Stegostoma tigrinum: one gene and its partner. Each later gene encodes a partner of the first gene's protein in a complex. Links are inferred from orthologs where the notes say so. Each region holds a gene or a part of one and is shown on either strand. Other genes may lie near its edges. The genes, in order: oprl1 and pnocb.

The links.
Region 2: the proteins of oprl1 (region 1) and pnocb are in contact, whole or in part, in a cryo-EM structure (PDB 8F7X), measured with the Homo sapiens proteins. The link is inferred for Stegostoma tigrinum from reciprocal best matches to the Homo sapiens genes OPRL1 and PNOC. Residues at the interface, in NP_000904.1 of Homo sapiens: Gln107, Asp110, Gly114, Phe115, Trp116, Val126, Ile127, Asp130, Tyr131, Met134, Gln192, Glu194, Ile198, Glu199, Cys200, Leu201, Val202, Ile219, Val279, Gln280, Val283, Gln286, Gln291, Pro292, Ser293, Val298, Leu301, Arg302, Thr305, Tyr309; in NP_006219.1 of Homo sapiens: Phe130, Gly131, Gly132, Phe133, Thr134, Gly135, Ala136, Arg137, Lys138, Ser139, Ala140, Arg141, Lys142, Leu143.

Annotation. Positions count from the first base shown.
Region 1 is NC_081372.1:27,784,719-27,792,206, forward strand, and holds the start of oprl1 (nociceptin receptor), read left to right. Parts: upstream 1-2,481; 5' UTR 2,482-2,501; coding exon 2,502-2,545; intron 2,546-7,485; exon of another isoform or gene 7,486-7,488.
Region 2 is NC_081357.1:98,742,310-98,749,797, forward strand, and holds the start of pnocb (prepronociceptin b), read right to left. Parts: upstream 4,215-7,488; 5' UTR 4,192-4,214; intron 4,134-4,191; exon of another isoform or gene 3,842-4,133; intron 1-3,841.

The DNA of each region.
Region 1 (7,488 bases):
CTCATCCCACCTCCTTGACCTGTCCGTCTTCCCTGGACTGACCTATCCCCTCCCTACCTCCCCACCTACACCCTCTCCACCTATCTTCTTTACTCTCCATCTTCGGTCCGCCTCCCCCTCTCTCCCTATTTATTCCAGTTCCCTCCCCCCATCCCCCTCTCTGATGAAGGGTCTAGGCCCGAAACGTCAGCTTTTGTGCTCCTGAGATGCTGCTTGGCCTGCTGTGTTCATCCAGCCCCACATTTTATTATCTTGGAATCTCCAGCATCTGCAGTTCCCATTATCTCTGATACCATTTTGTCCTTACTGTATTTGGAGAATTCCTTCAGATTCTCATTAACCCTATTTGCCAAAACTTGCTCAGTTTCCCTTTTTGCCCTCCTGATTTCCCTCTTCAGTATACTCCTAATGTATTTGTACTCTTTTCGGGATTCATTCGATCTCTGCTGTCTATAGATGACATATGCTTCCTTCTTTTTTTTGACCAAAACCTTCATTTCTCTAGTCATTCAGCATTCTCTACACCTAACAACCTTGACTTTCACCCTAGCAGGAACACACTGTCGTAGGACTCACATTATCTCTTTTTTGAAGGCTTCTCATTTTCCAGCCATCCATTTACCTGCGAACATCTGTTGCCAATCAACTTATGAAAGTTTTTGCTTCATACAATCAAAATTGGCCATCATCCAATTTAGAACTTTAACTTTTAGATCTGGTCTATCCTTTCCTATTACTATTTTTAGATGAATAGAATTGTGGTCACTGGGCCCCAAAGTGCCCCCCCACTGACACCGGTCACTTGCCCTGCCTTATTTCCCAAGAGTAGGTCAAGTTTTGAATCAGAAAATTTTCCTGTACACACTTCACAAATTCCTCTCCATAAAGCCCTGAACACTGTCAGTCCCAGTCCATGTTTGGTAAGTTAAAACCCCTACCATAATCATCCTAATATTCTTACAATCAACTGAGATCTCCTTACAAATTGTTTCTTAATTTCCTGCTGACTACTGGGGGTGTCGGGGTTGTGGGGGTGGGGTGCAAGGATTAGTCTATACTACAACCTCAAAAAGATAGTTATCCCTTTCTTACTTCTCAGTTCCACCCAATAACTTCCCTGAACATCTTTTCAGGACTATCCTCCCCAACTACAGCCATAATGTTATCTTAAATCAAAAATGCCACTGCCTCTCCTCTCTTCCCTCCCCTTACTATCCTTCCTATAGCATCTATAGCCTGGAACATTAAGCCGCTAATCTAGTCCATCCCCAAGGTACGTCTCTGTAATTTCTACAATATCCCAATCCCATGTTCCGAGCTATGCACTGAGGTCATCTACCTTACCTGTTAGGCCTCTTCCAATAAAATAAACGCAGTTTAATTCATCAGTCCTACCTCGTTTTCTACTTTGTTCCTGCCTGCCGTGACTGTTTGACTTGCTCCTTTCCCCAACTGTACCAGTCTCAGATTGATCTGCCATTCACGGGACATCATTTTAAAGGGATTTACAGCGAAATGATAAGACAAGAGAGGAATGGCTTTGGAAATTCACTCATTGCTTTGAGATTACAAATGGAGTAGTGGAAAGGGAGTCCTCAACAGTGCACCCTCTGGAGGAGTGCAGTAGCAATGACAGCAAATTAGGGATTTCTGTCATTAAACGTAGTTGCTGTCAGCTCCAATGGAATAATGAATGACTACAAGTATGAGCAGTTTAACCATCATTGTTTCTGCAAGACATCAAAAAATGAATTTCACAATATCTGGTCATGCTGACATAATTCTACAAAACTTAGCTCGAGTGTAGCTTGGAAATGCCTGAAATGGACAATCATTTAATTCTTTGTAGAATTATGCCAGCACGACTAGATCCCATCCTTATTAAAATATTCACATCTTTTACGGAAGGTCAGCAAAGTATCCTGTTTTGAATTAAGTTAAATATCCTTCCCTAAGAAAACAAAACTATTTAACCGTGATGTTACTTAACCATTGTGGTGATTTTCACTCAACTGACTTCATTCAGCTGCAAAATCACAAAAAGCTGAATTATCTTAAGCTTAGGCTCGATGTTTATATTATACATCAGTTATATTTTGATGTTGCAAATTTAAAACTTCTGACTTAAAATGTAATCAAACTAAGTAATTACATGATTGTGACAGAGTTGAACATTTCCAATGTTTTCAAATTTTACTTCTGATTTCCAACATATGCTTTTTTTTCTCTTACTGCTATTGGTTATGGATTCACCAATTAAGAAAAAACTGCCATGGTGAGACTAACTTTATTCTCCCATTCCCCGGTCAGAAAACCCTTTTAGTACCATGTGGGTATGAACATAAAGTCAAATTATTCTTTTCACTTGTGCACCATGATTCATCCTGTGCTGCTTCAATTCATTCTCAGTGTTGTTTGCATATAGCTGTTTATGAGCTAGTGCTTCTGACACAGTGTTTTCATATACTGACGAATGGATCATTCTGTTCTTTCCAATTTTCATGAAATGTGAAGGCAGAGTCTTGGGAGATTGCTTCAATGAAATGTAAGACAGCAGTATTTTCAACATGTGCTATCCATTGAGTTGGTTCGTGCTGGTATTTAGTAGCCCAATGTTAGAATATGGAAAGATTTTGGCACTGGCAGTAAGCTTGGCAGTTTCTCTCATTTTCATATGGTACATTCACTCTGCAGTGTCGTTACTTCCTTCAACTGGCCTATGATTTCTACGCAATGGTTCTGCAATCAGCAGTTATGTTTGTTGCTGATCTTACTCCTTTGGAAGTAAGTGAGTGATATTGACCAACTACAATTCTGAATATTGAGAATGTCAATGATCTAGATGTATGTTTAAAGAATATATTCATATTTATTCACTGGATTTATTGCAAATGTTCACTTTTTATAAGGCCTGTCTGTTTCTACTTAAAAGATAACTCTTCCCTTTGCAAGTTTTGATATTTGTGTAAATACTTTCTTCCCAATAGTGGGGAAACAGGTATCGTTTGTAACATTGTAAAGAACAAACAGGGTGGAATCTTACCAGGCTCTGAGCAGTATGGGTTACAGTGAGGTGTGTAGTAAAATCAGGCAAGATGTTTTGTGAAGTTGATCTGGATGTCAAGATTATTTCATCATAAGAATACTTAAGAATTTAAAAGTGTGAGATTTATGTTTCTCAAGACACTTACTTCAAATTGATGGATGTTGTGCACATACCATGAAAAATGTTTCAACCTGTCCTTGACAGTGCTTACCCAGGGGGATTTAATTGATTGTGTACTGGAGACTTGGTTTAGCCAGTGATGGAACATTATGTTGTCGGAAAATTGATATTTGCAACAATAAATTCATTGCAGAATATAACCATATTAAGCATGATTTATGTCGTATACATCCATGGCAGTAAATATCAGTAATGGTTCAAACCCATGCTCACAAAGGCAATGTGCTGGATGTATGCCATTTCATTCATTTCATTAAAAACGGAGTAAAGCGTCTGTCACATTGTACTATTAGACAAATGGTGAAATGTATTTTATTCTCAGTAGTCACTTTGTGAACTGATAAATTAGTCCATGCAGTTCTAAGCACAGCAACAAAAAAAAATCAGTTTCAGGGCTTCCACTGGTCTACTTTTAAACTTTATCCTAGGAGCCACGGGAAAATTGCAGAGACCTGTATGTGTTTTGTTTCTATAGGTTCTGGTAGTTTCCATTGTGCCTTTGAGGCAGAATTTCTACGTGCTGTGTTGGTGTAAGAGATTACATCTTTTTTTAAATTTTAGACTATGGTCTGAAAATGAGAGAAAAGGATATTTTTCTTTAAAAAAGGAGAATATACGAAGAGTTGTTTGCAGCATGGAAAAACAAATGAAGCTAACTGATGCATGTGAAATAATGTTATTTCTCAGCGACATTAAGTCCAGACAAATTGGCACAATTTTTTAATAGACTCAGGAAAAGCTCAGCATAACAATAACCCACTGATTGATAAGGCGGCAGTGCAACACGGACCCTGTGAGAGGGATTAACAAAGTGTTTCCGGGAGACCACCAAAAGTTGGCTGCATCAATCATTTTCTCTTATCTTTCTTGCAAAGCTGTTCTTGCCAATTTTCTGCTGAAAGAGCAGAAAAATTACCTTAGAGCTCAGAAAGAAATTGTTCTATAATACTAAGATTATCAGAATGACTCTTGGTCCAACCAAGTGAACTACAGACTGAGCATGTTGTTGCAGATAATGTTGAAAAATCATTTAAAAATGAAAAGGATTGTGAAACCAGCCAACTTGGTTTGTGATTTAGATTGGTGTAACAGAATTGCTTTCTCCTGACTACTACTTCTCCTCTCTACTTTTGCTATTCATATTTTTTTTGTTCCTTTGTGTTTGGAAGTTTTAAAAGGGGTAAAGTTTAAGTTCCACAAATTAGAAACCTTGAACTTTTCCTGTTCTTGTTAAAGTTAAAATTATGATGATAATTGACATTATGCTTATTGTTACTGAAGCAAGCAGGTATGATTCGTTTTTATCCTGGTAGCCGTCAGTTGGAGACAAATTGAAATATTTGATAGTTTCATTTAATCTTTGCATTTATGATAAGTTTGGGAATAGTGGGGGTTAACTTCAAATGTACTAACCCAGTGAATCATGATGGTGGAGATAGAGATCATTCACTGAGTTAATCCTATCCCTTAGGTTCATTTTGCACCGAGTATCAGTATGTCTACAATGGTTAGTAGTCCAAGTAAATTGAAGCATAGTTGGGTTAGCACATACTTGCCAATGGAAAAGATCCTGAATCATGCTAAAACAATTAGCATGAAAGAGGGCAAAAATAATAATGAATGCTTAAATTGCAACCTCAGTATCCCCTCTGCAATCCTTGTGACTCTGTCATTAGAAATGATGTTGCCGGGTAACCCAGTAGCTTTGCTGAGTGCCCTATGCTGTGGCACTCAACAAATGCAGCAGATGGAAAGCCCTGGCTAGCCCAGCCTACTGTTCAAGGGGTGGAGATGGTAATTCATCGTTCGCAAGACTCTGAAATCCACAGGTTGATCAATATGATTGACATGAAGGTCAGTAAAGGAAGGAAAAACACATTTACATTCACATGATAATTTTAATGACTTCAGAATATCTCAAGGTGTTAACAATTTTGCTTTGAAGTGACTTGTTATAACATGAAAACCTGACCACCAGTTTACGCACAGCAAGCTCCTTTGAACAGTAATGAGATAAATGACTGAGATAACAAAGTGTGGAGCTAGATGAACACAGCAGGCCAAGCAGCATCTTAGGAGCAGGAAAGCTGACATTTCGGGCCTCGACCCGATTTCTGATGAAGGGTCTAGGCCCAAAACATCAGCTTTCCTGCTCCTATGATGTTGCTTGGCCTGCTGTGCTCGTTCATCTTTACACCTTGTTATCTTGGATTCTTCAGCATCTGCAGTTCCTATTATCTTAGATAAATGACTGGCTAATGTTTTTTAATGATGTTGGTTGAGAAAAGAAATCACCATTTTCATTAACCTAAAGATTTCTTTCTGGCCTTAACTGTGCTGACACAACAACAGAATGCTAATAAGAGCCATATTTCATGAATTTTAGCAATTAGGCAGAAAATCAAAATATTAATCAGCATGGCACAGTGGCTAACACTGCAGCCTCACAGCGCTAGGGACCTGGGTTCGATTCCAGCCTCGGGTGGCTGTCTGTGCAGAGTTTGTACATTCTCCCTGTGTCTGCGTATGTTTCCTCCGGGTGCTCTGATTTCCTCCCACAGTCCAAAGATGTGCACGCTAGGTGGATTGATCATGCTAAATTGCCCATAGTGTTCAGTGGTGTGTGGGTTATAGGGGGTGGGTCTGTGTGGGATGCTCCAAGGGGAAGTGTGGACTTGTTGGACCAAAGGGCCTGTTTCCACACTGTAAGGAATCTAATCTAATCCACTTCTGCATCTTTGTCAATGGCTTGAGCATATGTTCCTTAATGTAAAGCCAACTGATTGTTGATATTCTCTGTACTAATGCAAAAGTATCACAAAATTTCATAGAATCTGGGGTTTGAATATTTGTTCAGCAGTTAGAAATGCAAATAGAATTTATACTGCATTGTTCACATCAATCAATGTTTTAGGGAGAGAGCTCAGCTGAACACCTGAATATAAAAGTAAGTTGTTGTGCAAGTAATAATAGTGAAAAAAAACACAAGAAGAACTGGTGATTTGGATTGATTATTTACTGTTTAGTCAATAACTAAAATGTAATTTTTTTAATACTTACTGTTATTAAAGGAGAACGGGACGAGCCTAGTGATAAAAAGTAGGGCCCCTCTGATTTGGTGTTTCTGGAATACAACACAACCTACCTGCCAAAAACTGGAGTGTGAATATTTTCACTGGCATTTTTGTCAGGATTAATGTTCACAAATGTCTAATTATGATGAGGCCTACCAGATTTATGTAAATGAGAAATTGACATTTGGGAACTGAAACCCCTATACTACACTTGACATGCAGCAGTGAAGACATAGGATCAGATGTATGTATAAATCTTTTCCTGTTAACAAATAAAACCAGAAAAGATATGTAACTGTTGACACTGAACTGTGCAAAAGCATTGACTATCAATTACTGGAAATAGGAACTGAATCTAGAGTGTAATTTTGTTGCACTGGTTGCTTTTTGCCTAGAAACCATTTGAATTGTTACGGACTTATCTGTTTGGTGATTAGGTATTAATATGCCCTCAACCACAGTGAAAGATCTGATGGCCACCTATAACATTCACAATTCCTTTGCTTACCAAAATTGTGCAAGAAGCAAAGCGGCAGAATATTTAAGGGAAAAATGTAAAGAAGCAAATGGGAAAGAAAGGCCTTTTTAAATGTTATCCCTTCCCAAGAATTTACATTACTCCACAGGCTTGTGCTATTAAGACAGTTACATGACATCACAGCATGTGACACTCTAGTACAAAAGTATCCACCTCGCCTTGAGTCATTCTTTCTGTGCACTCAGTCTGTTGTGCTTGTAATGCACAATTACAATAGAAAGCACTAAACCCAGATTTTGCTTTTAAGTCTGTCATACCATGGCCTTATTGCATGTAAACTTCAGATATCTGATTCAAGAACTTGACTATCTGGATAATTGTATTAGTGATAATGGGAACTACAGATGCTGGAGAATCCGAGATAAGAAAGTGTGAAGCTGGATGAACACAGCAGGCCAATCAGCATCTTAGGAGCGCAAAAGCTGACGTTTTGGGCCTAGACCCTTCATCAGAAAGGATGATTGTTATGTGGACTAACACATGTAGCAACATACAATTACAATACATCAATATCAGCCCTATTCACTCCTTTTCAATGATCCATTGGAGACTCAATGCAGGTAATGTTAGAGTACCTTACAGAAACAAAAATGTAGCAGTCTAGAGGGAGACCCAAAGAACCCATACTTATTAGAATGAAGATTTACCTC
Region 2 (7,488 bases), on another chromosome or scaffold:
TACTGAGATCACAACATTAAAATTCATGAAAAATATTTTTCAATTTAAACTAGGAAAAAAAACATGAGCAATGTGGTCTCTTTGACAACTGATAATGGTGCTATTTGCATTGAAAGTGAGGAAATGGCAGACGTGCTGTATAATTACTTCGTGACAGTATTTTCAATAAATGAAGAGGCCAAAATGCCTGACAAAATTAACATAAACAAAATGCTTTAAGGAGTAAAATAATGGCACTAAAGGACCAGATGGTCTCTATTAGAGAGTTCTAAAGAAAATAGGGAAAACCATTGCAGATGCTTGAACCACAATCTTTCAAAGTTCTCCTGATTTGGGAATGGCTCCTTTACATTCAGAAGTGTTAATATTATTACACTATTTAAGATGAATTACAGAGGGAAACTGGGAATTACAATAAGCCTAGTGTCTGTTGTCTGGAACTTGCCACTGTTTATATTAAGAATGGAAGGACTGAACAGGAAAATTTGGCATGGATTTGTAAAAGGTGGATCACGCTGATGGGTCTGATTGGATTTTTCAAAGAAGACCCTAAAGTAGTGGATGGAAAGAGCATTTATGAATTTTATTTATATGAATTTTAAGAAGATATTTAATCAATTCCATAATAAGTGACTTGTCCAAAGTTGAAGATTATGGAATTGAAGGCAATTTATTCACCTAGTTAAGAAATTGCCGAGAGACAGAAGATAGAGGAAGAGGGAGTAAAGAAATGGGCATTTGCCCTATTTGTAGAATGTGATTAGTGATGTCTTCCAAGGAAATGTGTTGGACCCTTCAACTGTTCATAATATCTATTAACTACATGATGATGAGATGGAAAGCCACATATCTATGTTTGTCAAAACACAAAGATAGAGTGCACTGTAAGTAATGAAGATGACAATATAAAATTACAAAGTGATGTTAATCGATTAAGTATCATGGGCAAACTGTTACTGATGGCTATGGGTAAATGTGAGATCATTCTCTTTATACCTAAAAATGTTAGAACAGGCACATTCAGAATGGTGAAAAGTGACAAACAGAAATGGTCCAAAGCAACCATGGAAAGGGGGGACACCTGCCTTGGGTGTTCTCTCAGATCACTGTTGTCATTGCAGGGAAATGTAACATCCATGTTGTGTTCAGCATGATTTCACCAATAGCAATGAAATCAATGAGATATAATCAATTTTTAATTATGTTAGTTGAGAGATAAATGTTCGTAGGAAGAACTCCTCTGCTGATCTTCCAATAGTATCATGGGATTTTTGCATTTCGGTGAACAGAGATATGAGGGCCCTGGTTCAATGTCTCATCTGAAAAAATGGCACAGAATTAGTTAATAAAACTGTACTGTAATCATTATTGCGCTTTTTTGGTATTTAGAATATAAAAGTAAACAATGTGGAAATTAATCCAGAAGAAACTGAGTTGCATTAAAACATTTGTACTTAAACCGATAAGTTCCAGGCTTGGAACCAGTTCTCAAAACTCTGTCCAACATAGATTGTTATTTTATGCATTGAATGACTGCTGGGCTCAATCCATTTATCTCCCCAATGAATTTTATTATTCAACTAGCTGCAAACCATTTCAACTTTCAGAGATCACATTAGAACTGATGCCAAATTTCCTACTTTGTTGAAAATATCACAAAGAAAGAGAGTCTGCAGGAAGGTCACTGTCCCAAGCACTGCCAGCACAATATTACTAAGAGGTTATCACTGTAAGCTGACTGCCATATCATAACCGTAAATGTGTTTTCACTCTTTGTACAAGGCAGTTATGAAGGACATTTCCAATTAGGCTGTTGGTGGAAAGCCAGACCAACGGACCAGGAGTTCATTTTCAGTAGTGCATAGTCTTTCAAATTGTTATTAGTTGAAGTTTAGTGGGAGTTTGTTTAAATGATTGCCATGGTGGGATTAATAATCTTATCCTTCAGACCAATTCTACATGTTCAGTGTACCAAGCATTTTCATGTGGCACTAGATTTATTTTTGAAAACATATTTGGTTACGGCCTCCATCCCTATGTCTCAATTTCTGCCCTTACCAAATATAACTCTATTGAGCCTTGTCTTAAAAGTCCCAGTTGACTCAGCTCGCACTGTTGATGTTATCGACCAGACCTCCACAATAGAAAACAGAAAATGATGAAATTAACTTGCATTTGCTCCACATCTCTCATTGCCCCAGGCTAACAAAAGCTTATCCAGCTTTAGACGTGAAAACTCCAACTCCAAATGGGGGAGATGGTGAAAATGTTTACAGTTTCTATTATTTTCTATGTGGCAAAATGCTTCAGAATTTCATTCTGGAAAGGCCTTACTCAAATTATAATATTGTGCCTTCTAGATTCCCAACCAGAGAAAATACTGTACTCCATATATCATTTAAAATAACTGAATAGATTTCATCTCATCCTTCTAAACTCCACAGAATACAAACCAGGGAATGCAGCCTATATTCAAAATTATCATCAGTAACATCCACAGACTCATTCTATTGTTAACTGTGACACCTGCCCAAACAAAATAACTAATAAGTCAACAACATTGTATTTAGTGTAGCATTATAAAGAAACTTAAAATATACTATTCGGTTGAAGTAACAATTCAATGAATGACGATTGGAAGAGGAGAGAATATTTTTAAATCTGAAGCTCTGGTACTTTATCTGAACGTCTGGTCTTAATTCTTGACCCCGACTACATCTTTCAAATTGCTGTTTCCAGTAGAAACCTTGTCGAAGAGAGCTGATGGGATGTAAAAGTGCAACAGCAAGGTGTAGCCTCGTGGTAAAAACAAATGGTACTTTTTCAACGTGACCTTTCCACCAACGCCGGCACCTCTTTTACTGTTCATATCTCGTCTCTTTATCCAATTTCGATTCTGTAGCCCTCACCGTTCTGGTCTATTTTTCACACCTCTGCTGTCTTTCTTGCCTACCTCTCCCTCTCTCTGCCCACTGCTGTTATCTACATTTGGCAGTTCCCTGGGACGGGACACTGACCCTCAGGTGAGAGCTGTCCAGGACTGAGCAGTATGCACAACGGGGTACATGAGAGGGAGCTGGACCGTGGGACCGGGCTGCCTGCGCACCCAGATACAGGCAACTCGGTAAACACACACACACACACACACACACACACAGAACTCAGAGCCAGATTACACACCCTTTGGTCCACGACCCCGCCTCTCCATTTCTGTCTGTACCTTCTTTGTTACCTCTTTAAACGTTATTCTGCTGTTTCCCTGCGATTTATTTGGGAACTCTGTAGGCTCCCGGTTTCAGTGGCTCATCCCAGCTCCCCCACCACTCCCTGCCCTCCCTGAGGGAGCTCACCCTAGCCCTCCCGGACTCTATAGGGAAGTGAAGGGTTAGTCAAGCTGGGAAATGCGGCTCCATCACCTCCCTCTCAGCGACTCTACAAGGATTGAAGGAAACAGAGAGGGACAGGGACCTGGGGAAAAGCGGGGGCGCGGGCGGAGGGTGAGTGTTAAACAGAAAGGTTATAGATTGTGGGAGGGGGTAGGAGTGGATAAATGAGAGGGATTAAACGAAATAGGAGTTCTGCGGGAATGGAAACCTGGCGAGTTCTCCGCTAAGAGGAAGGAGGAAAAGAAAAAGTTTCCATTAGGAAGAATATCGGTGAAAACAAACCAATAGAGAAGAGAGTTGGCTCAAAGGATGGAGGCAGGGAGAGTGGGAGCAGAAACAGCGCGGAACTGAAAGATGCAGGGAGCCCAGGCTCTCACTCGGAGACAGCAACAAAGTTTAAACCGAACATCTGGTCTTTATCGGGAATGAGAGGGAGACTTGAGTAACTCTCCTACCTGAGAATGTCCGCCAGTGAGAGGGTAACTGTTGTTGCGAGGTCTTCTCTCTCTCTCTCTCTCTCACTCACTCTCTCTCTCTCACACACACACACACACACACACACACACAGCAAGATTCGTCTCCTCAATCCTAAAGCAGAGTTTCACACTGTACTTGTGTTTAACTCCCCTCTTCTGATATACCCTGACTGGACAGACAAACCAGGCAGTCAGCAAGCGAGAGCACACCCCTTCCAGGAAGAGAGATGCATTTGTATAAGCAGCTTCCTGGAACCCCTCACATTGGCTCAGATGACTGACACATCCTCACTCCCTGAGTCACACAGGAACTGTCTCCCGACACTTACCTGTCACTAATCCCCGATATGACCCTGACTGACAGTCAGTAAAACTCGCCCCACAATCATTCTGTGAGAGTCACTGACCCCTCTCCGAGCCCACAGTCACTGATTACCACCAATAATTCCTAACAGTGACTTTGTCACTACCCAACCACCCAAAGTCATTTAGTTAATTACCAACAATTACTGACTGAGTTACTGACTCGGCCAATGACTTCGTCACGAAGTCAGGAAAACTAACAGTAACCTACAACAGTTACAAGCATGTCATCAGGTGGCTACCAGGTTACTCAGATCGCTAACACATCAATCGAACATAAACGTACAATAGTTACCCATTTACTAAATCCTAGCAATAACACTGCACACTCCCTGATCACTTGAGACTCACTCTGTCACTAAAGTGTCACTCCATTACACAGTCCAGGCACTCGGGTCACTAACCAGTCACACCATCACTAACCCAGACAGGCACTCGGGTCAGTAACCTGTCATTTCATCAGTGACACAGACAGGCACTCGGGTCACTAACCTGTCACTGTATCACTAACCCAGACAGGCACTCGGGTCACTAACCTGTCACTCCATCAGTGACACAGACAGGCACTCGGGTCACTAACCTGTCACTCCATCAGTGACACAGACAGGCACTCGGGTCACTAACCTGTCACTCCATCAGTGACACAGACAGGCACTCGGGTCACTAACCTGTCACTCCATCAGTGACACAGACAGGCACTCGAGTCACTAACCTGTCACTCCATCAGTGACACAGACAGGCACTCGGGTCACTAACCTGTCACTGTATCAGTGACACAGACAGGCACTCGGGTCACTAACCTGTCACTCCATCAGTGACACAGACAGGCACTCGGGTCACTAACCTGTCACTCCATCAGTGACACAGACAGGCACTCGGGTCACTAACCTGTCACTCCATCAGTGACACAGACAGGCACTCGGGTCACTAACCTGTCACTCCATCAGTGACACAGACAGGCACTCGGGTCACTAACCTGTCACTCCATCAGTGACACAGACAGGCACTCGGGTCACTAACCTGTCACTCCATCAGTGACACAGACAGGCACTCGAGTCACTAACCTGTCACTCCATCAGTGACACAGACAGGCACTCGAGTCACTAACCTGTCACTCCATCAGTGACACAGACAGGCACTCGGGTCACTAACCTGTCACTCCATCAGTGACACAGACAGGCACTCGGGTCACTAACCTGTCACTTCATCAGTGACACAGACAGGCACTCGAGTCACTAACCTGTCACTCCATCAGTGACACAGACAGGCACTCGGGTCACTAACCTGTCACTCCATCAGTGACACAGACAGGCACTCGAGTCACTAACCTGTCACTCCATCAGTGACACAGACAGGCACTCGGGTCACTAACCTGTCACTCCATCAGTGACACAGACAGGCACTCGAGTCACTAACCTGTCACTCCATCAGTGACACAGACAGGCACTCGGGTCACTAACCTGTCACTCCATCAGTGACACAGACAGGCACTCGAGTCACTAACCTGTCACTCCATCAGTGACACAGACAGGCACTCGGGTCACTAACCTGTCACTCCATCAGTGACACAGACAGGCACTCGAGTCACTAACCTGTCACTCCATCAGTGACACAGACAGGCACTCGAGTCACTAACCTGTCACTCCATCAGTGACACAGACAGGCACTCGGGTCACTAACCTGTCACTCCATCAGTGACACAGACAGGCACTCGAGTCACTAACCTGTCACTCCATCAGTGACACAGACAGGCACTCGAGTCACTAACCTGTCACTCCATCAGTGACACAGACAGGCACTCGGGTCACTAACCTGTCACTCCATCAGTGACACAGACAGGCACTCGAGTCACTAACCTGTCACTCCATCAGTGACACAGACAGGCACTCGAGTCACTAACCTGTCACTCCATCAGTGACACAGACAGGCACTCGAGTCACTAACCTGTCACTCCATCAGTGACACAGACAGGCACTCGGGTCACTAACCTGTCACTGTATCACTAACCCAGACAGGCACTCGAGTCACTAACCTGTCACTCCATCAGTGACACAGACAGGCACTCGAGTCACTAACCTGTCACTCCATCAGTGACACAGACAGGCACTCGGGTCACTAACCTGTCACTCCATCAGTGACACAGACAGGCACTCGAGTCACTAACCTGTCACTCCATCAGTGACACAGACAGGCACTCGAGTCACTAACCTGTCACTCCATCAGTGACACAGACAGGCACTCGGGTCACTAACCTGTCACTGTATCACTAACCCAGACAGGCACTCGGGTCACTAACCTGAACACCATCACAAACCCAGACAGGTTCATGATCCGAGTGCCTGTCTGAGTTAGTGATGCTGTGACACGTTAGTGATGGAGGGACCGGTTACTAACCTGTCACTGTATCACGAAACCAGACAGGTACTCGGGTCACTAATGTGTCACAGCATCACTAACTCAGACTGGCACTCAGGCCACTAGCCTGTCACTGTATCATGAACTCAGGCAGACACTGGGGTCACTCATCTGTCACGACATCACTGACCCAGACAGGCACTCGGGTCACTAACCTGTCACTGTCTCACTAAACCAGACAGGCATTAGTGTCACTAACCTGTCACTGTATTACTCACCCAGACAGGCACTCGGGTCACTGACCTGTCACTGTCTCACTAAACCAGACAGGCATTAGTGTCACTAACCTGTCACTGTATTACTCACCCAGACAGGCACTCGGGTCACTGACCTGTATCTCCGTCACTAACCCAGACAGGCACTCGGGTCACTGACCTGTCTCTGCAACCTTTAGCTCGATCATTAACCCAGACAGGCACCCGGGTCACTAACCTGTCACTGGCTCACTAAATCAGACAGGCATTAGTGTCACTAACCTGTCACTGTATTACTCACCCAGACAGGCACTCGGGTCACTGACCTGTATCTCCGTCACTAACCCAGACAGGCACTCGGGTCACTGACCTGTCTCTGCAACCTTTAGCTCGATCATTAACCCAGACAGGCACCCGGGTCACTAACCTGTCACTGGCTCACTAAATCAGACAGGCATTAGCGTCACTAACCTGTCACTGTATTACTCACCCAGACAGGCACTCGGGTCACTGACCTGTATCTCCGTCACTAACCCAGGCAGGCACTCGGGTCACTAACCTGTCACTCCATCACTAACCCAGGCAGGCATTCGGGCCACTAACCTGTCATTGAATCACTAACCCAGACAGGCACTGAGGTCACTAACCTGTATC